2 linked regions of the Lytechinus pictus genome follow. The protein of the gene in region 2 binds, or shares a complex with, the protein of the main gene of each other region. Links are inferred from orthologs where the notes say so. Each region holds a gene or a part of one and is shown on either strand. Other genes may lie near its edges. The genes, in order: exosome complex component RRP40-like and exosome complex component 10-like.

Region 1 (17,345 bases), on a different chromosome or scaffold from region 2:
TGCTTAAACTATGGTTCTTCCAAAAATGAGAGTAAAATAGATCTCTTGTATCTTGCTCATAATTAATCAGGCATCGTCAGACATCACCATCGATAGGGCGTTTGTTTATGGGCCGGCCTAGCTTATATAGCCTGGGCGCGGCGGTGCCGGCTATCGATATCCGATAAGACCGATATCGATATCGCGCTGAATTCATTTTTTACACCCCCGCCCCCTTCTCGTTATTATCATTTTTCGGCTTGTGATTAAATATATACATGTATTACAACTGAAAGACGGCTGTACCTCTCTTTTTATCACCCTTCCTACTTTTATTTTTCTTCTTTCGTTCCAAGTAATTTTTTTCTCCTCATCATGTATTTTTCCCACCTGCCTGCCGCTCCTAGTAGGGGCAGAAACAAGTCACTAAAAACAAATTAAGAGACTTCAGCGCTAAAAAGAGTTGATTATAGGCCCTATTCTTAGATTCGACTACAATAGACTACCATAAATGGACCATTCATAAATTAAATCGAAGAATTAATATAAGACCAAAACTTGAGGGCCTATATGCAAAACATGTCTTACATTATAAAATTGTATGCCTATCGAATTTGATTTCACCAAGCATGCGAGTACTAGTATCCAGGATTTTTCAACCCGGGGGCGCGACCTAATTTTGGCTCCCCTGTGAACCGCTGGTCTCGGGATGGGGGGGGGGGGCACCAGCAATTTTTTTAGCCATCCTTGGTCGCGTAAATTGCACTCGATCACCAAGTATACCTAGAGACATTTAAAGGACTGTGACATGAAAAGGATATGTATCTCACTGATCAAATAACGCAGAAAATTTGTGATACTCAGACATTATAAGCAAATTGTTGTAATAATCATACGTATCTGTCTCACTAAACGTAATTGTAAACATAAATATGACACGTATCTCACTAATCAAATATTGCGAGCGCGAAGCGCGAGCTGAAAATTTTTGAAATTCAGACCTGAAGAGGGGCATTCTATGGCTTGTTCTTGGGAATTTACAAGGCCATACGTAATTCACTAACCAAATGATGCGGATGCGAAGTGCGAGCTAAACATTTTTGATATTTTGACTCGGATAATCAAACCAAAAGGGGACATTTTAAGGACTGTTTATAAGACTTCATGAAGAGCAGACATATATCACTATTCCACTAATTCGAACGTAAATACGGACTGGAAATGATTTAAATTCAGACCTTAAATAGGGAAATCAATTTAAGTACTCATGAAAAAGAAGCATAATGTCACTCCATAAAGCAATAATAACTCGAAGTGCGAGGAAATATATTTGGTGTATATGGACTTTAAAACGGGATGTTTTAGTCAAACAGGATCATATATCTCATTAAACAGACAGTGCGAGCACCAGGAATGATAAACACATAGGCCCTAAGAAAATAATTTTTCATAAATTTATGAAAAAATATTTCTTATGTAACACTATAATATATATTTTTGTTATATATATTAATATGATATACAATAATTTCTTCTCCCAACAACTACGCGTGACCAAGAAATTTCCAAACATCCCCCCCCCCCTAAAAGCATAAAACTTTAAGCACTTTGGTGTGGATCTAGCTTTCACTAAGGGGGGGTGAAACATATTTTCATCAATAATTTTATGTTTCCCGATCGGATATTCTAAGCAGTTTTTTGTAACAGTGAACATAATGGGTATACGTTGATGCGAGTGCGAAAATTTTTGATATTCTGACCTCAAATTTGAAAGTCTCAATGCAATTTTGGTAATTCGGAAAGGGATATGGGTATCTATCTCAGCATTTTATGCGACCGCAAAGCGCGAGCTGAAATTTTTTGATATTCTGACCTAAAATTTGGACTTTCTAGGCACTTTTGGTGATCACAAACAGATTGGGCATCTAATTGCATTTGATACGAGCGCGAGCGCCAAAATCATGTGAAACATGATTTTGGCGCCCCCGGTCAAACATAAAGTTGGCGCCATAATGGTCGAATATGAATTTGGCGCCCCCTCCCGAGGTTGAACATGAATTTGGCGCCCTTAAGTAAAACATCGATTCGGCGGACCCCAAGGTCGGACATCATTGCGGCGTCCCAAAGTAAAACATAAATTCGTCGCCCCTAGGTCGGACATCAATTCGGCGCCCCCTCCTATGTCAAACATAGATTCGGCGCCCTTCTATGTCGAACATAAATTGGGCGCCCCTATAGGTAGAACAAATCTGATCCAAGCTCTGGACAAAGTTTATACTTGACTATACTTTATTAATGATTGTATATACCAAAACTAAAGTTATGCTCATTGGATCTAGACATAGTATAAGCAGTAGTATGGATGCTGTTGATTTGTCAATGTGATTGATATTGTTGATTTGCTCTTGCATGGATGACCCCATCAGAACAGGTATTTCAACAAGTTAACTGGCCATCTCTTCAAGAAGTGCAAACTAAATCACTACTGTGCATGGTTTATAAATATATCAACAAACTAGTCCCCTCAATTCTTGCCAATTGATTTACTCTTTATGATGACGCGCAATCTGAATCAATTGAAATTAGATGTAGAACAGAATATTACAAACGGCCATTTGTTAACAAGGGCATAGTCCAGAGGAATAACCTCCCCTATGTCGAACATCAATTCGGCGCCCTTAGGTCAAACATCAATTTTCTCTTCCATGTGTGCGATATGTTGGGCAGAGTCTGGTCCGAGTTATGGATTCTTGGTTGCTTGCGAAAGGTGGAGGTAGCTGATCGCCTTCCCGTAATATAGTTACTTAAATGGTTTGAACTGAATTTCACTTATGTTAGTGTCTTAACGTCACTTTTACAGTTATTCATTATCATATTTTCAGCAAAAATAATTGATATATACCTGCAAACCTTGTGTATAGTTATTTAGTGTCATACACTCTTAAGGATGGGGTGCTGGTTTTGCGCCTTTGTGTGCTTGTGGAGTGGCTGTCCTTTTGGAGAGCTGTTTTTTTTCTAAATGAAATTTTAACTTGAATCAAGGTGCCGTCGCTGTTTAGGTTCCTAGAGTGTTGAATTGTCACTTTGTCATCAGAGTGTGGATACTGCTGTTTTTAATATTTATGTATGTTGCATCATACTATTGTGACTAAATATGTTTTTAATCTTGTTAAAATCAGGACATTGAAGTAAAACGGCGATTCAGCTAATCGTTTTATCCTGTATAAATATTTTCTAATAAATAAATAAATTCGGCGCCTCCCTAGGTTAAAGGTCGATTCAGCGCCCTATTAAGTCGACATTCAATCAAACATCATTTCGGCGCCCCTAAGTGAAACATCAATCGGTGCCCCCTATGTCAAACATCAATTCGGCGCCTCTAGGTAGAACATCAATTCGCCGAGGCCCTATGTCGAACTTCAATTCGGCGCCCCGAGGTCGAACATCAATTCGCCCTCCCCCTATAGGTCAAACATAAATTCAGCGCCCCCTACATCAAACTCCAATTCGGCGCCCCTATACGTAGAACATCATTTTGGCGCCCCCCTAGGTTGAAGATCAATTCGGCGCCCTTATGCCGAACTTCAATTCGTCGCCCCCTATGTAAACATTAATTCGGAGCCCCTTGGTAAAACATCAATTCGGTGCCCCTTATGTCGAACATCGATTCGGTGCCCCTAAGTCTAACATCAATTTGCCCCCCCCCCCCCCCCCCAGTTCAAACATAAATTCGGCGCCCCCTTCCCCCCGTTCTGTTTTTTCCCCTTTCTCTTTCTCTTCTTCTTTTCCTCCCCAGTTCTCCCCTATTCTTTTCTTTTTTTCTTTCTTTTCCTCTCTTCTCTTCTTTTTGGCGCCCCCCCCCCTTTCGCCTACCCAGGGGCCCGAGCCCCGAAAGCATCCCCCAGAATACACGCATGCCAAGGTCAATACGACTTCCAATTAGATTTTACTATGTTGATTGTATTGCAGTCATATCCTCTATATCGTCTTTTTTTTTTACATCTGACGAAGAGTGTGACTTTACCTTTCATTTTTGAGAGCTATGCTCCTTTTAAAATATATTATTTTATTTCTACGGCATTTTCTAAACCATTTGTGATTATGATTATATATACAATGTATGTATATATATATATATATATATATATATAGCAAAATACAAGGTGAATAAAACAACCGTAGAGAGAAAAGTTAGATCAAATTTTCGCCCATAGGGCTTCATTAGGAAATGATTAATTTATTAGTCAACAGCACCAAGAAACGCAGTGCGCAAAACGCAAAGCGTTAATAACAACGCGCTAAAAGGTAAAACGCGAAGCGCAACAGTACAAAAGAAAAGAGAGAGAGAAAGAAAGATTGGGGGAGGGGGAGAGAAAATAAGAAAAAAAGAAAAAAAGGGGAAGGAGAAGAAAAAGAAGAAGAAAAAGAAAAAAAGAAGAAGAAGAAAAAGCCGGGGAGACAAAAGGAAGAGAGAAAAAGGAAAACGACTTGAAGAAAAGAGAGCTGAGAGAGAGAAGGGGGCAGAAATAGAGGACAGCTGGGGAGAAAGAAGTAAAAGAAAAAAAGAAGAAAAGGAAAAAGAATAGAAAAAAAGAAGAAAAAGAAAGAAAAAGAAGAAAAAGAAAGGGATGTTTTATATACATATATATATAGAACATCATTTTCCTTTTAAAGTCTACTATTTTATTTCTACGGCATTTTCTAAACCATTTGTGATTATGATTATATATATAGTCTTAACCACTAGACCACGACGCCCCTGTATATAGGCCTATAACTATTTCAAGTCTAAGCAGGGTGGCACTACAGATGTTCCCCTAAATCATTTAGGGGAAGTGTAAAAACATATAAAACTAATGAACCCTTTTTGGATTTATATATATCCTCTCTGTACGATATGTGTGCGCGTGTCATGAATTTTGAACCTGCCAACTTTAGGGAGCGTTTCATCATCATTTTCGTCCGACAAGATGTCAAATCCGATAACTTTACTTGATTTTGATTGGCTGAGAAGCACTGAGCTGTTAGTCGGATAAAACCATAGATATGTATACTAATTAGTTATTAGTATACATCTCTATGGATAAAACGGAGACCTGGGGCAGGCGCGTAGCCAGGGGGGCGGTGGGGGCGGAAAAAAGAGAGGAGAAAAGGAAAAGGGAAGGGAAGAAAGGTAGCTTTGTCGGGTTATTTTTCTTTTTATTTATTTTTTTTTTCTCAAAAGAGAAACTCCTACACTCTTGCTCTAAATTTATATATGAATTTTGCTTCCGCGCTGCGCGCGGTTAAATGACAATATTGAAGTTCTCCATTGTTTCCCCCACCCTTTCTCTAACCCTGTTTTTCCACCTCAGCTATATGTGTTTCTTGCCAGTTAAAGTTCAAATGTATACATTAGGGCATGGAATTAGAGTAAGGTTAGGCCGAAGTATATGAAGTTATCTTTTTTTTATTGATCGCGCAACTTCTGGTCGGGTCGGCTCCGGGCGGGTAAAATCTTAATATATCTTTCTGCCGTCAGCCCGTCACCCCCATAAAGTCAACTTCTCCCGCTTTTCAGCTCATTACTAAACAACCATAATTTTGGGGCAAACAGGTTCCTAATTTAAAAAGAGGAATGTATAAAATTTGTGTCGTATTAACTAAAAAAGTACAATATTTTGTATCAAATTCTATTAATCTTCATGTCATTACCTTGCACATTCATCTCCTGTCCTGTTTTGCGCCCTAAGTTTGAAATTTTGAAAGACACTTAGGTTTCTTTATAATTCAAAATGAAGCGCTTCAGGATAAGTCAAAGAAATTAGGCATCCTTTTTTATATAATTTCAATAAATCACAGAAGTTTCAACTTTTTGCGCACTATTTTCCTTGTAATGAGTTCAATAATCTTAGGAAATCAATTGAATTAGAGCCGATGGGGTATTAGAGATATCTGCATTTGATGAAACGTCCGCCCGTTGAAATTTCAGAGTTTTATTGCTCTGCGCGGGGAGGAATATCTGGGACCGAATATCTTCCTCCCGGAAAGAATTCAAAATACTGCAGCTAGATTGGTAACCCTCACTAAGAAATTTGAACATATCACCTCTATTCTCTACTCCCTCCATTGGCTTCAGGTTCATAATAATATAATTATTTTCAAGCTCCTTCTCCTTGTCTATAAAATCATCCATGGTCTCGCCCCATCCTACCTTCAAAATCTTATCTCTCTCTATCACTCATCCTCTGCAACTCAACGTCTCCGATCTTCTTCTACTGCTCACCTTCGACTATCTCTAGGACCCCGCACTTTTACCCGTTATGGCGATCGTGCTTTTTCTGCTCTTGCCCCTAAACTCTGGAACAATCTCCCAATCTCCATCCGTAATGCATCCACTGTCGAATCTTTCAAAACACTCCTCAAATCTTACCTCGTTAAGCAGTCCTCTTAATTCCATATCCTGTTCTCTTTCACTGTATTTTGCTACTTCTTTTTTTCTCTTTCCAATGCGCTTAGAAACTGTTGTATTAAGCGCTATATAAATGTTAATTATTATTATTATTATTGTTATATACACTTCTCCTCTGTTTTGCGAGTTAAAGATATGCACTGTCGCTAAATTGTTTGTAATCAAATCTGATCTTTCCAAGGGAAGTATTCACTATATCTATGAGAATACCCTTTTCTCGGGACTCTTTTCATGGCAAAAATATTGATAAAACGCTTTAGCATCCGCGCTTCGCGCGGGGTTATTTCAGTGCTTTTAATTTCCTCCATTGTATTCCTTTTTGTGCGTTCACAATCACTTTTGAAAACAAGGTTCAAAATCACAATATAGTCAACTGAATTGGAGCTGATATAGGTACTAGAGACAAGAGAGACGACTCCTTTTCATTTTAATTTATGAAACACCAAAAGCTTCGCGCTTCGCGTGGGAGGATAAAACAGTACTTGTCGGATAAAACGTCCAACAAGTCCTTTCATGAAACGCTCCCCAGGTGCCATGAGCCTAATTACATCAGGAGGGCTAAAGATATTCGTTCGACCCAACCCATTCGAAATTTTTCAATTTGATATTGCTGATTGACAAAAATGTATATGAATATGATTCAAAATCTAACACTGATTCTAGAAATGGTAACTACTGAACTTCCTTTGCCCAAAGTGGGAAGATATATCAATGATTTGGCACTATTTTTTGACTGGCGGAAGAATTGGGGCTATTTTACCGTTTCAGTTGATCAATTTGATCCCATCATAGTTATCTTCATAAATGGCGATTTATTTTTAAAATGAGCTGGCTACGATACCCTTCTCTGGTCAGATATGGAATGTCAGATATATATCCTATCCAAAGGTAGTAAACATTCGACCCTCTAATTTCACATTTATTTTTTATGAATTTTTGTTAAGTGCCATTTTAACACACAAGTCTATGGGGAATGTTTTACGCGCGTGAGACCTATAAGTAATACAGGCGAATTCCCTATAGTGGATGGAATACCTGCCAAAACTCCTCTGAAGCAAACAATTTCTAAGTGATATCAATATGTTTAGTCATCAAGTGGTGCAAAAAATTGATTTAATGGCTTAGCAAGGCTATATCAGGTAAAGTTAGTAGGTATGTGTATGTAAGCCTAGGAATGCATATAGACTGGTCAATGAGAGTCTAGGCCTCTTTATGTTCTGATTCATCATTGGTTTGTGCTAGTGTATGATCACCTACTTAATGTTAGAAAGACCTTTACAAATTGCTCATGTTAAAATTGTTCTTTGGAATGGGGTAGAGAGCTAGAGATAGAACTTTCTGAACTTTACTGAAGAGAACTAGAGTGGTACCTTCAAGAAGGTATTTAGAAAAAGGCACAGAGTATTAAGGTAAGGTATCTAATAGTGCTCAACTAAGGAGGGAGGGGGGGTGGCTGTGTGATCCAATCTTATTCTAGCCCCCCCCCTCTTTATAAGCCATGACATCTATAAAATCATCTTTCTTTCTCTCTCCTCTTTCTATCTATTTATGTATCTCTTTCTTCTTACATCTGATAGGCAATAGCCCTAGGAAGATTTTGATATAATAGTTCAAATGCAAATGTACTAAAGTAATATTATATGTTCTCATTCTTTTATTGTTTCCTCATTCAATCTCATGTATATCTGGTAATTATGTTTGGGGCAGTTCTGGTATCCTGATATCTACACCAAATTTACATACACCTTTATATTACAAGGAGAACAGGGGCCTATATTGTCATTGCATTCACTGTTGGGCTATATGCAGGAAGGATATGTATACATCCATATAGTGAATATAACATGTATGAGTAGCACATTAAAATGGGTCATTGCATAGAAAATACGCATTTTCAATGTATTTCTTTGTGCTAGTGTAAGTTTACAGATATAAAAGAATAGCAAAGTAGCTATTTAAAAAAATAAAATTCATAGGTCATATAATATAGGTGCCATGAGCCTAATTACATCAGGAGGGCTAAAGATATTCGTTCGACCCAACCCATTCGAAATTTTTCAATTTGATATTGCTGATTGACAAAAATGTATGAATATGATTCAAAATCTAACACTGATTCTAGAAATGGTAACTACTGAACTTCCTTTGCCCAAATTGGGAAGATATATCAATGATTTGGCACTATTTTTTGACTGGCGGAAGAATTGGGGCTATTTTACCGTTTCAGTTGATGAATTTGATCCCATCATAGTTATCTTCATAAATGGCGATTTATTTTTAAAATGAGCTGGCTACGATACCCTTCTCTGGTCAGATATGGAATGTCAGATATATATCCTATCCAAAGGTAGTAAACATTCGACCCTCTAATTTCACATTTATTTTTTATGAATTTTTGTAAAGTGCCATTTTAACACACAAGTCTATGGGGAATGTTTTACGCGCGTGAGACCCCCAGACAAATCCTGTCGTGAAAAACTTTCCCTGTCGTAGATGGCAGTGTGCACATTTTGATAATAAAGATGGCAGCCCCCATAGATGACTTTGAACCGCGTGTTGTTCTGCCAGGTGATTTGTTGACAGGATATATTTCTGGAGAGCTTCATAATCAAATTATTCTTGGACCAGGGCTAAGGCAAGATGAAGCCAACATATTCTCAACAAAAGCAGGGATTCTAAGACGAAAGAAACCACATACTTTCTGGATAGATTGCCACCAAAAGAGGGTAGGTAACGCAAAAATCAATAGGCGGGACTGACAGCTCAGTGACACTGACAGTGTCAGTAGAGTAAAAATTAGACAGCTGGCAGCTGTCTGTTTCGAGGAGTTTTTTAACATTTTTATTATTTTTTTATGAGTGGGGCCAACGCAGTTCAGTGGAACAACCAATATAACAACGACAGAAGCTAAGTTGTAAGTATTGGTCTACAGGTCTAGAAAAGACTAGATCTAGGCCTAACTCAAAAATCTGCTGAGTCAGACCACTCCTAGTCCTAGTACCAATGAGGTCCAAACATTAGCATGTATGGACCTCATAGGCGACAATGCATTAAAAACAGGTTAGAACTTCTAACCGTACTGTTTCCTGCACCCAAGTATTAGTATATATGATATTACTCCCAAAATATGAGTTTTGTCCTCGTTTGTTTATCATTTATTAAAAGATTGCCCATTAAATATATTCCTATTCCTAATTTGAATTTAATAAAATAAAGGTAGGCACTTCAGTCGGGCGGGCGATAGCGCGGACATAGCGCTAGACGTAGATTTTTGCATTGCAGTGAATGGCGAGCGCCTATCTAACACACACAGTTCGCTCCGCTCGGCACTTTGGCCGAGCGCTGGAGTTGCATTCGGCATTGCTCGAAAAGACAGAGTCAGTTTCTTCCTTTATTCCGCTGATTTTGATTGGTCAAAAATTCCCGCGGTTGCTTCGTACATCTTCGGTAAACATCGGAAATATACAAGACGGAGTTTAACTTACCTTCATGCGAGGGAAGGACCTAATATTCAGGTATTTATTTTTCTTTGCTTGAAATCACCTTCTTGTAATCATCGGATCCCTTGTAAACTCAGTCAGTAATACAATTGTATATTTGAGAACATTTTGTGAAATTCTAATCAAATTTGGTCCGTAGAGAGTTTGCGAATATGAGCTTCAGTTTTGAGTGTCATGAGGTGTTTGTGAATCTGACTCGGCCGATCGAGCAGGGTTGTTTTGAGCGTATACGAACAGCTGTGAGTGACGTCATCCCCACTGCGTTGGGCCTGAGATTAGTCTTGGTGTTCAGACACAGTATGTTTCAGCCGTTGTATATTTTTTTAAATTACGATTTGAGCTCTGTTAATTATGAAAATCAAATTGTTATTTTGAAAATAATTTTGTAGAATTTGTGTGAAATAAGTATTAAGAGCAAAACTGCAAGTAAACTTCAAGAATTTTGTTTCATATGTGATTTTTTGTTGGAATGCGTCTGAATGTCTAGAATATGGTATTGTTAATGAAAGTCGTATTTTTGAATGGCACAGAAAGCTCCTTGCATGAATTTAATTTAGAAATAGGTTTACATACATGAGATGTGTTTCATAAATTTGATATCTGATTTATGGACCTTTGTTATGGTGTTAATTATTAATTTGAAAATATTATGAAAAAGTAAGAGAAGACAATAATGAGGCAATTAACAGTGATGATGAGACATTAATAATATGAGACAATAAACATTGAGACAATTATAATAATTATGATTATAATGATAACAATTATAATTATAATGATAATAATTATAATTGTAATAATTATTGAGACATCAATTCTAGTATTTATTGACAATAATAATTATTACAGTAATCATTATTATAATAAAATAATTGTAATAATAACAATTATAATGATGTACTTTGAATTGTAATAATTACTGAGACAATAATATTAATGAGATATCAATAATAATCATTATAATAATAATACTTATAATTAAAATAAATATAATTGTAGAAACAATTATAATTATAGTAATTATAATTATAGGCCTTATAATTAATGAGACAATAATAACTATTATTACAATAATACTAATTATTATAAAATAATTATAATGATAACAATTATTCAATTCAATTCAATTTATTCAAATTCCATTCAATAAAAATACAAGATACAATATCAGAGAAATACATAGTAACAAAACAATTAAACATACATAAATATAAAATGAAATTTGGGAGACTGCAAAAGACCGAAAGGTCTTGACGAGGCAGACCCCGAGTGCCATCATGGCAATACATGTATATTGGCATAGGTTAAAAATAATGACATGAACAGGATGAAAAAAATATAAATACAAATGTCCTAACCCCCCCTCCCCCATCGGGAACTGGAAGCCAGTGTAACAATATATAAATTATCAAAATACACTTTAAGAAGATTTATGAGTCATATGATGATATAATGTGTTTTTTTAGCTTACGTTTAAAAGAATAAAGCGAAGAACATTTTTTGATTTCACAAGGCAGCGAGTGCCAAACATCAGGTCCTCTATGTCTAATGGATTTATAAGCAAGTACTGTTTTGGGATTACTAAGATGAAAATTGTTAGAACCTCTGGTATTGTGTTCATGAACCTGGGTATTGCGTATAAACATTGAATTAAAATTGCTTGGAACCAAGTGATTAGTATAATTGAACATAAAATTTGCAGTTTGTAAGATATTGATATCAGATATTTTTAATATGTTCAGTTTTTTGAAAATTGGATCAGTATGGGCTAAGTAAGGAGAACCTGTGCAAATTCTTATGGCTCTTTTCTGCAGTAGCAATAAGGAATTAACATTTCTTTTGGTTCCACAACCCCACGCAATATTAGCATAAGATAAATAAGATAATATGAAAGAATTGTACAATAGTATAATAGACTTTGGCATTAACGTATCTTTAAGTTTAAACATTATACCAATAATTCTAGAAATATGAGTTCTTAAATGCTGAAAATGCAAATTCCAGTTTAAATGTTGATCGAGAACAACGCCAAGAAATTTAACATTAGTTTTCCTTTCAATTAGGGTATTGTCTATTAAGATTTGGCACTGGTCTTCCATAATCTTTTTGATTGGGTTGTGAAATATAATATAATTGGTTTTACTGAGGTTTAGAGATAACTTATTACATTGTAGCCAGTTGGTTAGTTTACGTAATTCTACATTGATAGTGACGATCATTTTATTAAAATCATGATGAGAATATAACAGTGTCGTATCATCTGCAAATAACACATAGCTAAGCATTTCGGAAGAATTTACAATGTCGTTCATATATATTATAAAAAGAAGCGGCCCAAGAATGGATCCTTGTGGGACGCCACACTGGAGTTCTAAAATTTGTGATTTATTTAAGTCGACCTCAGTGTATTGAATTCTGTTCTTTAAATAATCTTTGAACCATGCAAGAGGCGTACCCCTTATACCATAACGTTCAAGTTTATGTATTAATATTGAATGATCAAGCGTGTCGAACGCTTTTGAAAGGTCCAAAAATAATCCAGTTATATATTGTTTTTTTGCAAGGGATTTGGTTATTCTATCATATAAGTCCAAAACTGCTAATTCAGTTGAATGTTGTCTCCTAAAACCATATTGGGCGGTGCAAAGTAATTTGTTTTTGTCTAAAAAATTATATACCTGGATATGGATTATTCTTTCTAAGATTTTAGATAAAGAGGGTAAGATAGATATAGGTCGGTAATTTTCACATTGGATACGATTTCCCTTTTTGAATATTGGTACGACCCGTGCTAATTTGAAAGAATTCGGATAGCATCCAAGAGACAATGATAAGTTGAAAATATGACATATAATGAAAGTAATTATAATTGTAATAATTACTGAGACGGTAATATTGAAAGGTCATCAATAATTATTATTATAAAAATTATTATGATTATAAAAATAATCATAATTATAATTAAAGGCCTTATAATTATTGAGACAAATAACTATTATTACAATAATAATAATTATAAAATAATTATAATGATAACAATTATAATGAAAGTAATTGTACTTGTAATAAATACTGAGACAGTAATATTGATAAGTCATCAATAATTATTATTATTATAAAAATTATTATAATTATAATTATAATCATAAAAATAATCATAATTATAATTATAGGCCTTATAATTATTGAGACAATAATAATTATTATTTCAATAATAATTATTATTATGAAATAATTATAACAATAATTACTAAGATAGTAATTATAATTGTAATAATTATTTAGAAAATAATATTAATGAAACAAAAATAATTATCATAATAATATTTATTATAAGTATAATACTAATTGGGACAATAATGAAATGATGATGAGACAATAATAATATCAACAATTTTATTCAGACCATAATAACAAGACAATATTGAGATAATAGACAATTGAAATCAATCTGTTTTTATTTTTTTCTAGAAATCCTAAGATTATTATTTTATTTCTCTTTCTTTGATTACAAATTATATTCATTGAAAACTTAATTTATAATGTTCAAGCAAAGAAAATCAATATCAAGTCATGTTTACCCTGTGCACAAACCTACCACAGGGCAATTACCCCCGAAATAGGGTTAGGTTAGGTGTAGATTTTTGGATAGGGGTACAGTGTAGTTGTCCGGGGGGGGGGGGTAATTGTCCAGGGTGGGTGGGGGTGGGGGGAGGGGAATTGTCCGAGGGTGGGGGGTGGGGGGTTATCGTCCAGGGGTAGTTGCCCTTGAACCAAAGAAATCATATGCCAATATGTCAAATCAATCTGAGTACTTTAAGATTTAAATAAAAAGCTTGTACAATTCCCCATAAGCTATGTATTATAAATGTGCCATGCCCAAAACAAAGAGAATAATAAGATTTCGCAATCTTCTTTTGTCCACAAAAAGGCCTGTTTTTTCATCACAAAGTTGACAATAACTCGAGATATCGGAATTTGAAAATTCAAACAGTTTTGTGAATCGTAGATATTGAGCCTCATTGTGAGCCCATCAAATATGCTGGAACAGCCTTTCCTAATTTTCACCTGAAGTGCCTAATAAAGGGAAACTTACATTTGAGTCATTTTTCGATCTTTTTTTGGCAGTCAGTCCGGTCACCGTCGAGTGCGATCAAAGCGGTATGAAGCTGATTTTCAGATCACGTGATACGTGTGGTCATCACCTGATCAATCGACTATCCTTTTTTAAAGACCGCAACAATTATACATTTTATTATAAAATATATATAGAATAAATTATTGCATAATATTATGTATATTTCTACAATTAAAAAATATTTTTTGATATAAATTTAATATTTGACGTAAAAATCGCTATTGAACAAAATATTTATTAAAAATAAAAAATCAAACAAAATAAAAAAGCCTTGGACACAGTGCAAAAAACCTAACGATTTGGCCGCGTTGTTAACAACTATCGTAAGGGGCGCTTTATTTATAAATAAAAAAGAATATGCAGCTGTCTATGGCGACGTGGTTTGTCGCGAGATTTGAGACAAATCTGTGGGAATTCTTGAGAAAATACATCAAAAGAACCGGTGAGTACCGATTAAACATTATTAAAGTAGTAAATAGATTATACATACTTTGTAGATTTAGTTTTTAAGGTGATATTAGTGCTTTGTTCTAAGCTAGGGAGGCCCAAACGCGCGTGAGCGGAGTCCCACTTTATTAACACGGGTAAGTATTGCGGTGTCGCCTAGAGTGAGTCAGACTGAGTGCTGTTTTTCGGCAATCAAGGGTTCATTACATGCCGCCACGCACAGAAAAATCAAGCAATAGAACTTAGAAGTTGTGTGTTGTGGACACCAGAAGTGGGATCGCAGCACGCGTGACCCACTAGTTAGAAATCCATTGCCAAACGTGGTCAATCAATGGTGCGAGTTTTTACTTATACTAACCTCGCGCTCGCAATAGTGTGAGTGTTATACATACTAACCTCGCAATAGTGTGAGTGGTTTTTCGGAGGAGTTTGTAGACATTTTCGGCATTATTTTTTTATTGTGAAATTGCAAATGCAATTGGGAACCAGTTCCTAATTTCCACTAGACACTTTTTTTCACGACAAGACATGACCAACCTACAGTAGAGGCGCACGGCCAATATGGGAGACTCTCTCCAATAGGGGAGACAATCTCCCACATTGGAGACTTGCTTTGCAAAAGGACAAAAGAAACAACACCAAAAAAAGCATGATTTTTTCCACCCAAAATTTTGTCTCACTGAGGTCAGAAGCCCATTTGTTTTGTGTGTGATTGACAAAAATCCTTATCAAATATCAAAACAAAAGTAGACGGTGAATTTTTAAAATAGACGGTGAAAAGGGGCAATTTTTCATGAGGAATCTGCTTATCACATTTTTATTTGCCGCCAAGGTAATCCTTTTGCAGCAAATGTAAACAAAGGAAATTGGTCTCCAAAACTGGAGACTGTCTCTGAAATTGGATACCCAAATTCTTTACAAAAGTCTCTGATATTGGAGATAATCTCCCACATTGGAGACAGTCTCCAATATTGGCCGTGCGCCTCTAGTGACCTAGAATATTTTGAGCTTGCTCACTCAGTCACTGCTTCACCGCATGCCGTAGTCGTAGACCAAAAAAGCTTCGGTCTCTGTTTTTGGTTGTTCCGCTGAACTCCGGTGGCTCCACTCACCAATTGTATGAGTCGAGGAGAAATTAAAAAAATAAAAAATATGTTAAAAAACTCCTTGAAACAGACGGCTGCCAGCTGTCTACGCACGCCGCAGCTGGTTCGCTGATTCTAAATCCTCTAAAGAGCATAGATCAGAAAGATTGATTTCGTCGCTGTCTATTCTCTACTCGTTGAAAATAACCAGCGTGGAAAACTCCCCATGGAGTTGTACACGCTGGTTCCCATTTCAGCGAGTAGAGTAAACTAGTTTAATCTACTCGCTTAAATTTTTTTAAATGGGAACCAGCGTGGAAAACTCCTTGTACATGCTGGTTCCCATTTCAGCGAGTATAGTAAATTAGTTTAATCTAGATCTACTCGCTAAAATGGGAACCAGTGTGGAAAACTCCTGCATAGAGTTGTACACACTGGTTCCCATTTCAGCGAGTATAGTAAACTAGTTTAATCTAGATCTACTTGCTAAAATGAGAACCAGCGTGGAAAACTCCCCATAGAGTTGTACAAGCTGGTTCCCATTTCAGCGAGTAGAGTAAACTAGTTTAATCTAGTCGCTGAAATGGGAACCAGCATGGAAATCCATATAGTTGTACATGCTGGTTGTCATTTTGAAGAGTAGATAAAGACAGATTGATAATGAGATTTATTTCGTCAGTGATGGTTCTGACGAAATAAATTACTCAAGTACACTGTCTTTATCTACTCTTGAAAATGGGAACCAGTACAATTCAGGAGAATTTTCCATAGCTGGTTCCCATTTTGAAGAGTAGATAAAGGCAGATTACTAATGAGATTTATTTCGTCAGTGCTGATTCTGATGAAATAAATTTTTCTATAGCTATGAACTTCAGAATTTCATAGCTGGTTCCCATTTTGAAGAGTAGATATAAAGACCGATTGCTTATGAGATTTATTTCGTCAGTGATGATTATCTGACAAAATAAATCTCACTAATAAACTGTCTTTATCTACTCGTGAAAATGGGAACCAGCATGTATAATTCAGGAGAATTTTTTTTAGGTGGTTCCCATTTTGAAGAGTAGATGTAAAGAGAGATTGCCAATGGCGCATCTGTACCAGACGTGCATACCTTTTTCTTCCCCGTTATCAATTCAATTCCAAAACATTGCAATGACAAATATGTGTGGGCGGCAGCCATGGTCATTTTGTGAATGCGATGTTTTAGAATTGGCATAGAATTTAGTCACCTCAATGATCAACCCTTTGATCACAATCAATGGAAAGACAAGATAAAGTCCAGATAGATGACCGCAATCTTCTATTTTAATTTTTTGTTTGAAAGATTAGGTTTTTTTTTTTAATTCAAAAGTGACAAATCAGAAGGATTTGGCATTCATGCATATGGCTGTTGGCGATATATTTCAGAATCTATTTTCAATCTCAATCTCTTCCAGTATGTACCAGCTAAAGGAGACAAGGTTCTAGGAGTAGTGACCCAGAGGGCAGGTGATATCTTCAGAGTGGACATCGGGGGCCAATCCAATGCTACTCTATCATATCTCGCATTTGAAGGAGCAACAAAGAGAAATAGACCAAATGTTCAGGCAAGTATGATTTGCCATCATGTTGTTGCCTTGCTGGGCAGCAGAAGGGTGTTAGGATCTACGTACAGTACATCAATTCCCATTCCTATTTGTCAGGCAGAAGGACGATTACTCTCGCGGATGTTTAAGCTAACGCCCTTATGACAACCGCACAGA
Region 2 (17,166 bases):
CATAGAGGGCTAAATGTCTTGAAAGAACATATCAATATTGTGATTAAATTGAATTCAATATATTGTTGGTCAAACTGAAAAAGAAATAATAAAAAAGACAACATGTATCCATGGACAAAACTATGATGAGGTAATAACGGACCAAAATCCATTGAGCAAAGATTTGAGGGAGCATAAAAAGAGAACCATCCCCGTTCAGAAATTGTTTCATGTTCCTACCTTTTTGTTCCAGCTGGTGACGATGAGTTGTGGTTTAGATACGCCAGGTGAGAAAGTCTGGGCCGGCTTGCTGATGCCTTCTGCTTCATCCAACAACGCACCCTGTGATTATTATTAAATAGAATGAATAACATGGTGTAAAGCTGATAAAAAGAGGGAGAAGACTTAGAACTTGATGGAACATGTTGGGCTAGGAAGAAGCTGTGGACCATTTAGCAATGGCAAATAGGATATGTTACACTTCAGATTCAGATATTTTCATTGTCCAATTGCAATCGAGTACAAATGGAAATCCAATTTGTTCGCACAAAATAATTTAGAATATTACATGATACACACAAAAGATTACACGACACATATAGTAAACATTATGCAAATCAACAAGCAAAGATGAGAGAAATTCAGATAAAATCAGGAAGGGTTATGGGTATGTACCGAGGAGGGATGATGGGCACATTTTAAGCAGGGCTCTTGTGTTTGAGATGGATGTTTCGAGGAAGGGGAAGGCCACAAATGGTAAGGAAATGGAAGAGAGGAGGAAGGTTGGATTGAGGATGTACTGAAAAATGCAAAGTGGAGGGAGGGCTAAGGGTGATTGCTGCCCCCCTAATCAATTGGAACAAAACCAAGTGGGTGTTTCATAAAGCTGTTCGTAAGTTAACAGTGACTTTCAGGGCGACTGGTGATCCTTTCTTGTGTATGGTACACACCAAAATGTTCACTGGCGATGGTTTAGCACTTAAGAAACGTTCACCAGTCATTCTCTCTTAACTTAACGAATGGCTTTATGAAACAGCCCCCTGATAAGTTTGCTGTTGTACTACCACTACTTAAATACTGTTATAATAATTCGAACAACCAGGATTTGGAACTTGGGGTCACCATCTATTACTTGCAAGGCAGCAACTGCAATTAAGTAGAAGATGAAGGGTTCCAAATCTGCTGGTTGCATACAATTTTCAGATATTGAGTATGCAAAATTAAAGACTATGTATGAAGGACAAGACCCTTAATACCTTGGTCACATTTGCTCTACGGCGAGTCGAAAACAGCCGTTTTATTCATTTTTATTAAAACCACCTATGTATCGCTGGTAAAAAAAAAGTTAAAACGGCTGTTTTCGACTCGCGGTATGGCCGCCGTAGAGTAAATATGACTGAGGTATTACTACTAAAATAAGATGATAAATTTAGTAATTGGGACTGACCCTTGATTGTGCACATTGCATGATGGGATAGACGTGACACAAGAGGGGGACAGTAAAGGGAGGTTTACTATCTGCATCGTCATTAATAGCATCAGCACAACACATTATTTGAGATGACAGCATGGAAACGTGCAATGTAAACTAACCAATTATCTCTTAATTCCGTTACAAATTCAAACAATATTTGAGGTACTGTGATAATAGTTCATGACATATTGCCTTAGTTGAAAACATTGACAAGATCTTCAAGAAGAATAATATCATAATAATAATAAGTCATAATTAAATCTTTGTGAAACACCCCCCTGATCTTTAAAAGTGCACAGCTCTGGTAGGAGGGGCATTCCAAAAAGTGTTGATTTATTATGCCTTCACATAACAGATGAACGGTAAAAAATTATTACGTTTACTAATCGTCTTACCGCACTTTCAAGAAGTGTATCATTGGTCTCGATGAGAGAGTCTACTCGATCCTCAAGCTCGAGGATTCTGCTGAGACCAACTTGACTTCCACCGGCTCCTTGCTGTCCTGCTAGCCTCTGGATACTAAAAATAAAATACAAAACAGGGAGAAAAAAAATACACAGGGGTCCACAGGGGTCTGGGGTGATTTAGCCCCTAAAATGCTCATAAGAGAAATTTTAAAGCTTATCCAATGTTGCAGATTTAGGCAGTGTTAAGTTGTGAAAAGTAGCACCTGAAAATAAAATAAAAAAAAACAATTTTTATGCCTGATACAAAATATACAATAACATTAATAATCATTCATTTCAGTCATCATTTTCCAACCTACATATTGGGTTGCAACTTGCGAAGCAACACTCGCATTTCAGACTAACCTTTCCAGGAGTTTGTCTCCCTGCGAATTGCAGAACTGCCTGAATCCTTCGTAACTGGAGTAGAAGTCGTAGTCATCACCGGCAGAGGGTAGTTCATTTGCGGTTCTGGTGGCTACCTTCAGCTTGCCAAGGGCTTTCTGTGAATTGACCAAATAGAGAAGCAGCATAATTCAGATTCAGATCTTTTTATTGTCCAATTGCAATCGAGTACAAATGGAAATTCAATTTGTTCACACAAAATAATTAGAATAACACATAATACACACAAAAGATTACACCGATACATATAGTAAACATTACACAAATCAACAAGCAAAGATAAGAGAAAATAAGATAAAGGCAGGAAGTGGGGGGGTAACATAATTTCAAGTATGGCTATTAAATTCACGGATTGAAACTGGAAAAAAATAATTTACAAAGCGTGAGGTTCTGCCTGGAAGGGATCTCAGATGTTTGCCTGACCTCATCAAATTATAATATTCCTGAAGGGCATGGTTCTCATTGGTTAGGATCTCTTTGGCTTTTTCAAGGACTCTACATTTACCTTCATATCTACAAGTTGATCAATTTATAAAGAAATTAAAAAATCAGCCAAAGTAAATTTACCAACCAATCCTCGAATTGGCTAGAATCCTACCTTGGCTACAAAAATATATACAAAATGATGCGATAGTATGAAATTTCTATAAAGCAGAGGTAAAAATAGAACACTTTATTCTGCCGTCTACTGCTCGTGGACAAGTGCATGGTCCAAGGCACAGATCAAAGCTCTATGCTGCAGTCCTGCACTTGAGATTTGCACTAATTCGATGATAAAGCTCTAGTGCTCTTGATGGTAATATTAAAAAAAAAAATTTACATGTAGACTTGTAGTCTTTGTAAATTGATAACAATAACATGTATTCCATTAAAATGACCAGACATTAGCGAATTTTTACAATAAAAAACAAAAAACTTCAATAGATCTCCATCCACTTGGTCTAGCCGGTTTAATGGCAGCAGAGGATATTTGGTGAAAAGAAATCTGCAAGAATTGTGTAGATATGCCCTAGACACGACTTTAGAAATCATCACCTTTTCTTTTATTATCCATCCTCATCCTTGCAATCACCTTCACCTCCACAATCCACCATCACCACCAGTCCATTCACAGTTCCACACCATCAGACAGCATCTTCATCATCAATCAAGACCAACATTCTCATCGATATCATCATTCTCATCATCAAAAGACATCATCACCATGATCATTCTCATCATCACCATCATGCTCATGATCAATCACCATCATCACCATCGTGATTTTCCTCAACATAATTTATTACCAACCAACCAACATGCATTTTTAAATTGATTCATTCCTCTTCCTGAGCATGCCGAGTCAGTGAGTCCTGCCCAAAACGTTCAGAACAAAATAAAAGACTCCTGACTGTCCTTTCAGTGCACTTCGGGTTCAATTCATCATATTCATAATTTATCACAGGCCAATCAGATATATTGTCACCTTCATCATTCATCCTCCTCCTCGGCTCATACTCTTGTCTAAAAAACATCAATAACATAATTTCTATTTTCAATTTCAAATCATGACATCTCATTATCTGGTGCGACTCGAGCTCGAGTAGCCAAGTGGCTCCTAGAGAGTAAAAATCATTTACTAACGTATGCTTACTCTCCACGGAGCCAGGAATTCCTTCCCATTCATCTCCATGTACCGCCAAAAAACCTGAAACTTTCGCCCCCGAGATTTCTACTTTCCTCCTAAAAGATCTAGCTCTAAATCATGTAAATGGGATATAACTTCATTTCCGACATTTCTACCCTATCGATTTCATTTTTAAACAAGAATTCATCTTTAAAAAAGGGGAAAAATGTTATGAAAAGACGGGGAAAACTTGCCACCGTGTTTACATCACCATCTTGATTTCATTGTCTTTTGCTTGGCGACATGCGAATGCACACAAATCGCGCGATTTGCGTGCTGTTGCCAAGCGAAAGACAATGAAATCAAGATGGCGACGTAAACACGGTGGCAACTTTTTTCGGTGGAGATTAAAGCATACGTTAGTAAATGATTTTTACTCTCTAGTCTAGGAGCCTCCACTCCGGCTGAGCTCGAGAGGAGAGCCGACGACGGAAAGGTAAATTATAATGCCCAATGGAATAATAATTGACATTTAGAATCTATATTTACAATATCCTCATAATTAGAGCATTTCACATTATGATGGTGGTCCCCAAGTCTGCGCACCTAACGATTTGAGTTAAGATTTAACATGAATTTCTTTTTAGTTCACAAATTCTTTCAGTTGATAATTTTCCTTATGCTATTATTAGGGATGCCACTCGCGCGCCGAGAAATTCCTGCCAGTGCGCGCTGCTGACGGTTATCCTTACAAATTCTTGGCAGGAATGATGAAAGTTATTCAAACAATGCAAAAAAAGTACACATATAACAAAAAAAACAATGATACATTAACCTGAAGAAAAACTCTTTCAAGTTCTTGTATTTTCATACCCATTGCTGACACATATTTCAACTACGACCTCGATGAAATCCTAGCATAATCAACCCATTCATATGTAAGATCAGCTGATTCCCATTGATCAAGATTTCAGGACCGAGGAATTTGATCGTAAGCCGGGGCGATTGGGATGTGAAGGGGTATTTTGAAACTCTATTAGCGATGTGATTATATTGCCCAATTTCATTTTCAAAAACCCCATGTCAAAGTGGAACATTCCAAGTTCATGTCCTTGACAACGAAAAAATCCCCAGGGCAGGCAATTGGAGTATGGACGACCAGAACAATGTCTATCATTGATAGGTTGATTAGTACTAAGATTTCTGAATGTCTGATGGAACTTTCGTCAATTTCACTTGTGATTGCACAATCCTGATTTCTCACACTTCATACCCAGCCATTTTCATGATGATCTGATAACTTGATCACTCTGCTATTGGAGACAAGTGGAATGCCTCTGGCCGTCTCACCTGCATCACGCTATTCAATATAGCAGAAGTGCTGACTTTGAAAACTACTGTAACTCGCACAAGATGTTCAGTGATACTTGGTTACTCTTATGTCCACGTTTTATGAACTAGACCAATACACTTACAGAGGTATGATGGTAATTCAACAAATACCCCCAACATGGCCAAAGTTCATTGACCTTACATGACCTTTGACCTTGAACATGTGACCTAAAACTCGCACAGGATGTTCAGTGATACTTGATTACTCTTATGTCCAAGTTTCATGAGTCAGATCCATAAACTTTCAAAGTTATGATGGTAATTCAACAGATCATACCCCCATTATGGCCAAAGTTCATTCACCTTTGACCTTGGTCATGTGACCTGAAATGCACACAGGATGTTCAGTGATACTTGATTACTCTTATGTCCAAGTTTTATGAACTAGACCAATATACTTTCAAAGTTATGATGGTAATTCAACAAATACCCCAATTTGGCCAAAGATCATTGACCCTAAATTACCTTTTACCTTAATCATGTGACCTGAAACTTGCACAGGATGTTCAGTGATACTTGATTACTATTAGTCATTTTTTGCCAATTTCCTCTGGGTCCAAAGGTGAAAATTTGTGTTTTCAACATATTTTGAACTCCGTTAATATGAAAACGAAAAGTAGTTCGGACCCAATTTTTCAGGTACTTGTTGGTTGTTAACATGTTAGGTGCCCCAAGGAAAAGCAACCTAGGTCCTAGCTATACTTCATCAAGTTTTAAAAGAGGTAGCTTTAAAAAAAAAAAAACACATTTTTGCCATTTTGGCCACTTTTTGGCAGAAAATATGCCTTTTTTCAAAATTTGAATTGGCCATATCTCGGCAACCCCCCGGCCCTCGTCCAATTTTGATGATCTTGGTGTCATTTTACTCGTGTTTCAGAGCTTATTCCAGTTAAACTATTTAAAACTAGAATTACAACACTTCAAATTTCAATTTTTGGGGTGGCATCCCTATTAATATAAGTAAACCAAATATCTCATAAAAATTAGACAGAAATACATGATCTTCTTGGAAAAAACATTAGGCAGTCATTTTCAGATTGAACAAAAAATTGGTACCCCATGTCTACGCACCCATTCACTTTGCACGCAATTTGGGGATTTTGATGAAAAAGGCTGCTTTTTGAGGCCATCACATGAAATGCCCAAAATTCATTATTTTTTCGTAATTTTGAGTCGAATTTTTTAATGAATATCTTTCCAAATACTGTGTAAAGTCTGTGGTCATCGCGTACTACATGTAGAATCGCGCAGATACGTAGGGACAGTGATTTTCCGCGATCGCGGAAAACGGACGGAATTCACGGATATTGCCTTTTGAAACGGAAAGTGGCATTTCAAACGGAAAATCACGGAAAACATATTTTTCCTCAGAATACACAGAATAGCAACAGTAATTACCCCAAAATCTCAACAAAATACGAATATTAAATGGCTACAAAACCTCACAAAACACGATCTCACTTCACTACAAAGTATGACAATCCACACATCGTGACTGCTCTCGACTCCATCACTCTCGATCGAACCCCCGGGCCTCTCCCGGGTCTTGGCCGGCGGCGGGGTCGGCCGTATCGAAAACATTCACATGCAAACAACACGGTCATGTGTTGCTGCCCTCTACGTTTGAAGATGTAACAGTACAATATTCCGGTCTTAAAATCCAAAATGGCGGATAGGCTAAAGTCGTTGACTGGTCGAAACGATGTCCAAAACCCCCCAAAATTATCTATAAAATTTAATTTAACAAATAATGCTAATAATGTGAAACTGAAAGGTAAGGATGTATTTATGTCAAATATGTTTGTCAAAATATTTTGTGTACCCCATACTAGATCCGATTAACTGTAGTGTTAGCATGGTTAGAGCGGATTCTACTGCGTTGTTGGTACATACAGTGGCAGATACAAATTTTGACCAGCGCGAGTGATATATTGCTCCTGAATGGTAAACGGAATAGCCAATTTTCCGTGTACACAAAGTCTATGGGGAAACGGAATTTCCGCTTTCTGACATGCTGAAAGTGAAACGGAATTTACGATTTTCTGAAACGGAAAAGGCAATTTTTTTAAACGGAAAATCACTGTCCCTAGATACGTGTGTGCGAAGACAAGGAGGACTGCGCAGACGAACTTGCCATACTTTTTAGCTTTCAAAGTACAAACAGAAACTCTAGACGCGGGCAGTGCGGCATGTCATTGTCAGGTGCCTGGCAGGCCAGCGCGCTAGCCGGCGGCGACGGCTACAGTACAGCGCAGCGCTAGCGGCCACAGCAGCATCATCCAGCCGCAACGCTGCGAGTGCGAGGCTTCATCTCATCCTAACCCAGAGAGCTCCCGCCCGCGCAGCGGGCGCCCGCTGCGCGGGCGGGAGCTCTCTGGGTTAATCTCATCCCAGCTCCACGCTGAATTAGTGTGTCAACAAACCTGAGCAAAATCGTTCACACTGGTGAATCCTGGCACATCCGTGACCATCATTTCGTCTCCAGCCTTTTCAGTCATTTTTAAACGGTTGAAAACTTTCGAATGTTAAATCTCTTGTTAGTTTGATTGGGAAATCGTGGCTCAAACTCGTCTCGATCTCATCTCAATCAGTCTCAGCTTGACTGACGCCATCTTCAAAACACCACGTGGGAGCATCGTTGGAGCTTTCTCTGACGTCTCTAGTTCTCTGTACTGTATGTACGGTACTGTACATAAACTTAAAGTCAAAGTCGTCGATTAAATTCTTCTTTCTTTTTTTTGGCAGTAAACAATTCATCTAGATCTATAGCTTTAAAAAGTTCGTGAGCTGTATTTTCTCCAAATATAGCAATGAGTAATCGGTATTTTGGAGAAAAATCTCCATCCTAAATGCTTACTACTTTACTAGGTCACCTGATACCAGTACACTGTCACGTGATTTCATGCATGTACGTGTACTATAATTGGGAGTACCGAGTAGTTGGTTGGAAGTTGAAGTCAGAACAGGCAAAATGTCATTGTCAAAGATATCAATTCTGGTTTTATTTGGTGCCTTGATCAATGAAACCCATCTCTGGTTGAAGACAAAATCGTATCTAACTGATGATCAGACAATTGCAAGAATAGCAGAGAAATTTGTTGGTAAGAACTAATCAGCAATTCTACTCCCAAATGCATGAAATGGGCAAGACAAAACCAAAACAAAACTTTAATTAAAGCCAAAACAAAAGCAAACTGAAAAATATTTAAAGCCTTAAAAAGGCAAAATGATTCCACTTATTTCCAGCAGTCCAGCTCTGGGCCTCGGGAGGCGCTGGGGGGGGGGTGTACAATGTCTGTGCTCTTGAACTGAATATTTGTACTACTACTAATTTACTCCTGACTAGTGACTGTCATCATAGACTAGTCTATGTCATGATGGAAAGACTGGAATTATATTCAGTAGACGTATACATGTACTCGAAGTACACAGGGGCCGCGGAACGGTTTTCAAAGTGGGGGGGCTGACCATGCAAAAAATCACAATCCTATGGTCATTTTTACGTTTTTGTACACGGTTTTGACTTTTGGAAAAAAGTGGGGGGGCTGAAGCCCCCCCGGTTCCGCGGCCCCTGGTACATGAACGAAACTCTGAATTTCGTAAATTGCGGATCAAGACAGTCAAGAGCCTCGAGCGCCTAATACTCGACAAGTCATGCAACCCTTTTGTGGGAAGACTAAATTTGCATATATAGTCTATTGCATGGGGATAGGTGTTTCCAAAATTGGGGGAAATTTCTATCTTTTTATTTTCAAAACATTTTTTGTCTCGCCTGCATAGCAGAGCGAGACTACGAGGCGCCGCTTTTCATGTCACGTCGTCAACATTGAAATGTTAACCCAGGTTAAGTTTTTGAAATGTCATTATTAACTTAAAAAGTATATGGACCTACATGTAGCTCATGAAACTTGGACATAAGGATAAGGGTAATCAAGTATTACTGAACATCCTGCCTGAATTTCAGGTCACATGACAAAGGTAATTTAGGGTCAATGAACTTGGACCATGTTGGGGGAATCAACATCAAAATCTTAACCTAATTATATAAGGTTAAGTTTTTGAAATTATGTCATAACTTAGAACATATATGGACCTAGTTCATGAAACTTAGACATAAGGTTAATCAAGTATTACTGAACGTCCTGCTTGAGTTTCACGTCACATGACCAAGGTCAAAGGTCATTTAGGGTCAATGAACTTTGGCCAAATTGGGGGTATCTGTTGAATTACCATCATAAATTTGAAAGTTTATGGATCTGATTCATTAAACTTGGACATAATAGTAACCAACTAGCACTGAACATCCTGTGCAAGTTTCGGGTCACATGATTAAGGTCAAAGGTCATTTAGGGTAAATGAACTTTGGCCAAATTGGGGGTATTTGTTGAATTACCATCATAACAAAGTTTATTGGTCTAGTTCATAACTTGGACATAAGAGTAATCAAGTATCACTGAACATCCCGTCTGAGTTTCAGGTCACATGACCAAGGTCATTTAAGGTCATTCAACTTTGGCCATGTTGGGGGTATTTGTTGAATTACCATCACAACTCTGTAAGTATATTGGTCTAGTTCATAAAACTTAATTGGACATTAGAGTCATCTATCACTGAACATCTCATGCGAGTTTCAGGTCACATGACAAAAGTCAAAAGGTCATTTAAGGCCATTGAACTTTGGCCATTTTTGAGGTAATTATTAGATTGCTGTCATAACTTTCAAAGTTCATAGATCTATATAGTGTATAAAATGTATATATGGGGTCAATATCATTTACAAGTTTTAGGTCACATGATCAAGGTCAAATATCAATGAACGTAGTATTGTATCATTATATGAGTGTTTTTTTTGTGAATAATTATTTTATAGTAGTTTTCAAAGTCAGCGCTGCTGCTATATTGAATCGTGTGATGCAGGTGAGACCGCCAGAGGCATTCTACTAGGGGGCAATTCCGTAAAATATGTACATCCGACCCCCTATATGTGGGACCTTCATGAAGTTTTCTGTCTCTCATTTCTTGTTCTTTTGACAGTCTGTAGGTTAATGTTCTCAAAGGGCCATGGCTTGGTCATTTTATGACGTGAAGTAAGACTTGAGAAAAATGGGGGTCAGACGTACAAAACGGTTGATCATTTTATGGAATAGCCCTAGGGTATATATTTGTTGCGGAATCTTCTCGTGGGGGGGGGGTATCCCAGGGGATTTGAATTGCTTCACTCTAACTCATCAAAAATGTACATAACAATTGTATTTCTTTCTGACAGGACTTCCACACCAAGATGCCTTTGACAAGGTGGGTGAGGTTCTTCGGGAGAGATACCCTGGTCACATCCTACCCAAAGAGAGGGAGGAATGGATCTTCATGAATGCCGGTGGCTGGATGGGGGCCATGTGTCTCGTGCATGCCTCGCTCACCGAGTATATTCTGTTCTTTGGCACTGCGGTGGATACTGGCGGTCATTCTGGTGAGGAATAGAAGATAGTCGTTTAAGCTGATCATTAGGCTTGTTTGATACTTGGGTAGGGTAGCTTGCTGATGTAGTAAGGTCGGGGCCTCGTGGTCGAGTGGTTATGACTCTCGTCTTTCATACTGAGGGACGTGGGTACTGTACGATCCCAGCCATGGCATGTTTTCCTTCTGCAAGAAATTTACCCACATTGTACTGCACTCAACCCAGGTGAGGTGAATGGGTACCCGGTAGGAAGAAATTCCTCAAATGCTCAGCTAGACCGCCTATATGGGCAGTTTAGCCAAAGCCGTGATAATAATAGCAGCGCTTGTATCCTAAGGCAAACGGGGCTTGACAAATCCAGCTATTATTATTATTAAGAGAAGCATTGGAAATACATTAGGAAGACAAGTGATTTTTTTTCATGACAGCCAAAGTAACCCCTAAAATTTGCAAACTGAAATGCTTTGGGGTGTAATACCATCTTTTCTTAAGTTGCCCCAATATATTTGCAAGAAAATATTATTCAAGAATATTTAGAAGATCAAGATTCTACGTACAGCAGAACAATGAGAAAGACTTTTACGGCATAAGTGCTAGTTGAGCTAAAAGGAAAAAAAAGTAGTCCTTAAAAATAGAAAGTCTTCAAATTCAGCAATCGTCCCAATTTGGCCCAAAAAACTGTAAAATGAAAATTGTTTCCTATCAGAGTAACATATTGTGCTTTTTTTATGGATAATAGGTTTTTTTTTTTTTTTTTTGAGGGGATCCAAAAACAGACAATTTGCAGAATTGGTTGCCAGGGGGAGGAGAATATTTTACTTGTTCTATAAAAGCATGAGTACATGTAAACTTGTGCGAGATCAAAGCAACCAAGAGTATTGCAAATGCATTTTTTTTTCATTTTAGGGTGAAAAGGAAAAGGTATTAATTTCTATATCACTCTATTTATTGTTTATTCACAGGTCGATATTGGGCAAATGTTTCTGACACGATCATAAGTGGGAATTTTCGGCAGTGGAAAGAAGGAACAACCGAGAGTGAAGAGTATGGACCGGGTAAGAACCATCATTCTTTGAATCTTAGTATTTCAATTTTTCTTATTAAATTTGTACATTTACTGCCTCCATCATTCTAACATCCTCACAGGACAGTGTTGATTATCCAAAGTGGTTGAAGGTTCAGGAAAATTTGTGTGTCCCAGGAAAAAAAGGAACTTGTTTTCAAAGATATTACAATTATCAATATGTTTTGATTACAAATTTGAAATCAAGATGAATATTTAGGGAATCCTATATGCAAGGTATACCACATTATAAACACTAAAAATTGAGCCATGTAAGAACGATTTGTGCGGAAACTCATTTGTAAACCGGTCTTCACTCTGATGCAGCGAATTCGTGAAAGAAGCATAACAAAGGACAGTGAGAAATGCTATTGACTATTCCTCCTTAAAACCCTTTTGTTGTTTACTTGACACATCTTGACTATTTTAGGTGCAACTTAATCCTAACATTAAATCATCAAACTCTTCTTGTCCATCTTTCATATCATGACATTATGAGGTAGGCCCCTATCCAAATAAAGAAGAAAAATTGCAAATTAGGAATGAAATATCATTTTATCATTAAAAAGCTAAGGTGGGAAGATAATGGTGAATCCTGTTTTCTTTTCTTTTTCTGAGAGGCACTGTACTCACAGCTTCAATGATTTCATTTACGTTGAATAGAGAGGGGTAGGGTATAATCAACTATAGTAATGATTAAAAAGGGTATTTTTCTTGGAACGTGTTTTCAACAAAAATATCCCAACAATTCATTATCATCTTGCAATAGAGAGCTAATGCATAGATATTGTGAAGAAGTACAGACCTTTCATTTGTCTGAGATCAACAAACCGACTCTCATTTATTTTTTTTCATTTTCGGTTGACGATAGGAGTCACACTACTCCATGCTTGGGGTGAGGCCACTTCCGTCCAGTGGACCGCGGGCACCTGGATGGTTGAATATGGGCGTGGTTTTATACCCTCCACCCTCCCGTTTGCCATTTCCGACACAATCTTCAGTACCCAAGACTTCTACACCCTCTACCGAATCGTCAGGATCTACGCAGAGGCACTGTTCCAGGAACTGCTATGTGTTCTTTGATGATGGTTTAAGATTGTTAGTGGATTAGTTAACAGAATGGGGAAGGGGGGTGGTTAGATTGACAGTTAATTTGGTTAAGTTTGTTTTTCCTATTGATATACTGATGGTTCATAAGTTCAAAGGTTTTTAATTTAAAACATGAAATAAGGTTTGATACTCTATAAAGGTTGGCCAAACCATTGGCAGATCCAGGGGGGCACATCTGGCCTGTGCCCCCCCCCTCCTTTTGAGATGCATAATCAAAATCTGTAATGTAAATTGGCCGTTCTAACACAAGTTTGCTCCCCCCCCCCCCCTTTTGAAAGTGAGGACCTTTTTTGTTTGATGGAGATTAAAGCAACTCTATCTGAAATAGGACCAGCATCGATTCTTTTTATTAGCATTTGATAGGTAGGCCTAAGGTACCATCTTACTAATCAAAATTGCTACCCTTCAATAGATTTTTAGAAATGTTTGAATGAGTTCTGATAACAATAATGATAATAATTAAAAATGAACGTGATGAATGTACAATGTTTTGTATAGCACACTTCCATTTTTTGATGTTGGATAGTATCACACTTACTATTAATATGCAAGAGTGTCATAATGATCATAATATATTGAATATATAATCTTTTGTCTAACACATCACTTCCAAAGTATTACCTCTGACCGGTTACCTCTGGCCAATTTATTTGGTATCTTTCATACAAGAGTGGTATAATGAATATAATTATATTTTGAATATGCATGCTTTGGTAGAGCACATCAATTGAAAAGAAAATGTTGGATGTTTGGATTTTTACCTCGAATTGATATGCCAAGGTGATATGATGATTATAATATTACGTGTATATAAATATACATTCCTTTGTAGCACATCAATTAGAAAAATATGTTGGATATTTTTACCTCTGACTTTTATATGCAAGAGTGATATAACGATCATAATACAGTGCGTATCAAAAAAAGTTTACACTTTGAAAAAGCCCTGGGAATTAAAAAATATACAACATGTGGGTAATTTTTTCACATACAATCTTGGGTTTGGGTCTCATCTGTCCAATGAAAGTAAAAGTTTTGACAGAATGTTACACTTGAGTGAGCACTGTCCATTTTTGTAAAGCTCGCAGAAATCTGTTTGCTCAGAAATGCTGGTTTTCACGCTGTGTCAAGGGGAAAGGGCGAAATCAAACTTACCCTGCAAAACATTTCTCATACATTTCCCTTGCACTTTTAGTCAATTGAAATAAAACGGATACATTCAAGCACAGTGTAACAATTTTACCACCCTAATTGAAATTTCAACACTTAGTAAGCACAACCTTTACCTCTTTTTTGCCAGCTGGATCTGAGGACATAGCTGAATCTGAACAAACGTTTATATCAGACATCTCCAGCATTTTTTCACTAAGTTTTTATCATTTAAAGTGGGTTTACATTTCCTTTTTCATTTAATACTTGTTTCTCCACACTTTTCCCAAGCTTGGCAATGATTAAAAAAATGAAAATCAAGCCTAAGCCATGTCATGTAAATCACAGCTCAGTGTAAAGCAAATATTGTCATGATGGCCTCGGTGTGTGGGGGAGTGGGATGAGGCGCAATGCACTCTTCGAAGTGTTTCGGGCAAGGAAACAAGTTAAAAAAGATAAAAGATATCTTCAAATAAATTTTACTAGCTAAATTTCACGTGTTCATGATTAAGGTCTACTTTTATATGCATAACTTTTTCAAAGTCCTGCGCAAATAATTTTTCACTAACTTTTCAAAAGTAAGTGGTGTTCACTCAAGTGGAAATATTTTTCGACAGTTATATCGTCATTTGCTTTAATGGATCTGTACCAATGTTAAAATGTGGAAAAATCTTCAGGATATTACAAATATATAATTTTACAGGATTTTTTCTAAGTGTAACCATTTTTTTATACGCACTTTATATTATGAATGTACATCCTTATGTATAGCACATCATTTTCAAAAGTCGGATATTTTTATTACCTCTGACTTTGGTAAATTTCCGAGTGTGTCTTGAACCAAGAATCCCAGAAGTAAGCCCACAATGCATTTGTCCTTGCTAATTATTGTCTACATGTATCATTTAGCAATTTAGTTACATTATTACATTAGTTACATTATATTACAGTACCAGACTGAGAAAATGTATAGTGGGAATGATTTATATGAGATTGGTACATGTATTAGCACTTTCAATCTGTGCTATGGAAGCAAAATGCCATATCGGGTTCAGGCCTTTTTGGCATGAGGCCGACGATATCATATATTCCTGCTGTGGTTAAACTTGAAAAATATGTTAAAACAGTTTAATCCAATCAAATATAGCTTGGGTAAAGTCTGTAAACAAGAATCCAAATCAATTCGGAAAAACACTTCCGCTAATATTGCAAAGCTGCGGGCAGCCTTGATAGAAACGGACTGGAGTGAAGTTCTTAAAGAAAATGATGTGGACATATCGTTTAAAAGGTTCTTACAAAAATTCATGTCTCTGTATAATAAAAATGTACCAGTTGTAAAGCAAAGTAGAAGAAATCGTAAAAATGTTCCTATTATGCCATGGGTTAGTGCTTCTTTGTTGAGATCCATTAACAAGAAAAACAAGCTGTATTATTCGTATAAAGTGCGTGGTACCGAATCTTCACGTAAACGTTATGTAAATTATAAAAATACGCTTACTTCAGTCCTTCGTATTGCAAAGAAATCATATTATCGCACTCAATTTCAGGCAACAAGAAACGATATCAAGGGAACTTGGAAAGTGATTAAGAAAGTATTCAAGTCAAAGGAAAAGATATCTCATGTAAAGAGTATTGAAATTAACGGTCATGTGGTGGAAGAAAGGAATATTATAGCAGACAACTTTAACAATTACTTTTGCAGCATTGGTCCAAAACTTTCACGGGCAGTGCCACTTTCTCAGCAGACTTACAGAGATTTTATGAAAGAGCAAAATAGTAAAAGTTTATTTTTCTTACCAGTAGTTCGGGAAGAACTGCTTACCATTGTGAAATCTCTTAAAAACGGGAAAAGTCCTGGTTATGATGGGGTTTCTAACAACTTAATTAAAGAAATTATCTTAGGAATTATTCAACCCCTACTTCATGTCTTTAATCTATCAATGTCATGTGGGAAAGTTCCTACTGACATGAAAATTGCGAAGGTCGTACCCATTTTTAAGAAAGGAGACCCTCAATGTCTGAATAATTACAGACCTATTTCTCTATTGACTGCATTCTCAAAGATTCTTGAGAAAGTGATCTATGTTAGAACTTTGAAATTTTTCAACAAGAGTAATATTTTTTCTAAATTTCAGTTTGGCTTTCGCGAGAAACATACCACCACCCATGCCTTGCTACATTTTATTGATAAAGTATCACAATCCATAGACAAAAAGATGCATACAATTGGTATATTTCTTGATTATTCGAAAGCTTTTGACACAGTAGATCATGATATTTTGACTGGCAAGTTATCACATTATGGTATCAGGGGTACAGCATTGGACTGGTTCAAGAGTTACTTAGCTGACAGGAAACAATTTGTCTCAATAAAGGATGCTGAGTCAGGTTTACAGAATGTCACTTGTGGTGTTCCCCAGGGATCCCTCCTTGGTCCGTTATTATTTATTGTGTATATTAATGATTTTCACTATTCCTCTGATATTTTATCGTTCATTTTATTTGCAGATGATTCAAGTTTGTATCATTCCCACAGAAATCCTGAGACCCTTTTAAAAACAGTTAATAGTGAACTGAGGAAAGTCACTTTGTGGATTCAAGCAAATAAATTATCTCTAAATATGCAGAAAACAAATTATATGCTCTTTAGCAACACGATATTAAAGATAAGTTCCAGGTGATGTTATATTTAATGATGTGTTAATAGATAGAGTAAAGACGACCAAATTTCTGGGGTTGCATATAGATGAAAAACTGATTTGGAAAACCCATATAAATCATCTATGTAAGACATTATCAAAAAATAGTGGTGTAATATACAAATTAAAATCCTTTTTCTCTACTGATATTCTTTGTATGATGTATTCAACACTAATTCTCCCGTATCTCAATTACGGTGTTCTTGCATGGGGTAATTCTCTTAAAACCAATCTAGAAAGGGTGTACTTGATTCAGAAAAGAGTTTTAAGAATTGTTTGTAATGTTAACTATCGCTCGCATACTACCCCACTTTTTTATGAGCATAGAATTCTAAAATTACAAGATATCTATGATTTTCAACTTGGTACTCTAATGTATGCATACAAT

What was found.
Region 1: exosome complex component 10-like (region 2) and exosome complex component RRP40-like share a complex: the UniProt entries of both Drosophila melanogaster proteins name them as parts of the RNA exosome complex. The link is inferred for Lytechinus pictus from reciprocal best matches to the Drosophila melanogaster genes Rrp6 and Rrp40.

What each region holds. Positions count from the first base shown.
Region 1 is NC_087255.1:34,040,254-34,057,598, reverse strand, and holds the start of exosome complex component RRP40-like, read left to right. Parts: upstream 1-8,934; 5' UTR 8,935-8,952; coding exon 8,953-9,156; intron 9,157-17,039; coding exon 17,040-17,189; intron 17,190-17,345. Other genes in the region: protein shortage in chiasmata 1 ortholog-like, read right to left, coding at 1-1. UniProt on the Drosophila melanogaster protein: Non-catalytic component of the RNA exosome complex which has 3'->5' exoribonuclease activity and participates in a multitude of cellular RNA processing and degradation events.
Region 2 is NC_087258.1:25,013,855-25,031,020, forward strand, and holds the start of exosome complex component 10-like, read right to left. Parts: upstream 8,617-17,166; 5' UTR 8,404-8,616; coding exon of another isoform or gene 8,274-8,403; 5' UTR 7,801-8,273; coding exon 7,726-7,800; intron 2,403-7,725; coding exon 2,266-2,402; intron 1,973-2,265; coding exon 1,849-1,972; intron 322-1,848; coding exon 220-321; intron 1-219. Other genes in the region: sigma non-opioid intracellular receptor 1-like, read left to right, coding at 8,274-8,403, 10,569-10,769, 11,720-11,812, 12,692-12,903. UniProt on the Drosophila melanogaster protein: Catalytic component of the RNA exosome complex which has 3'->5' exoribonuclease activity and participates in a multitude of cellular RNA processing and degradation events.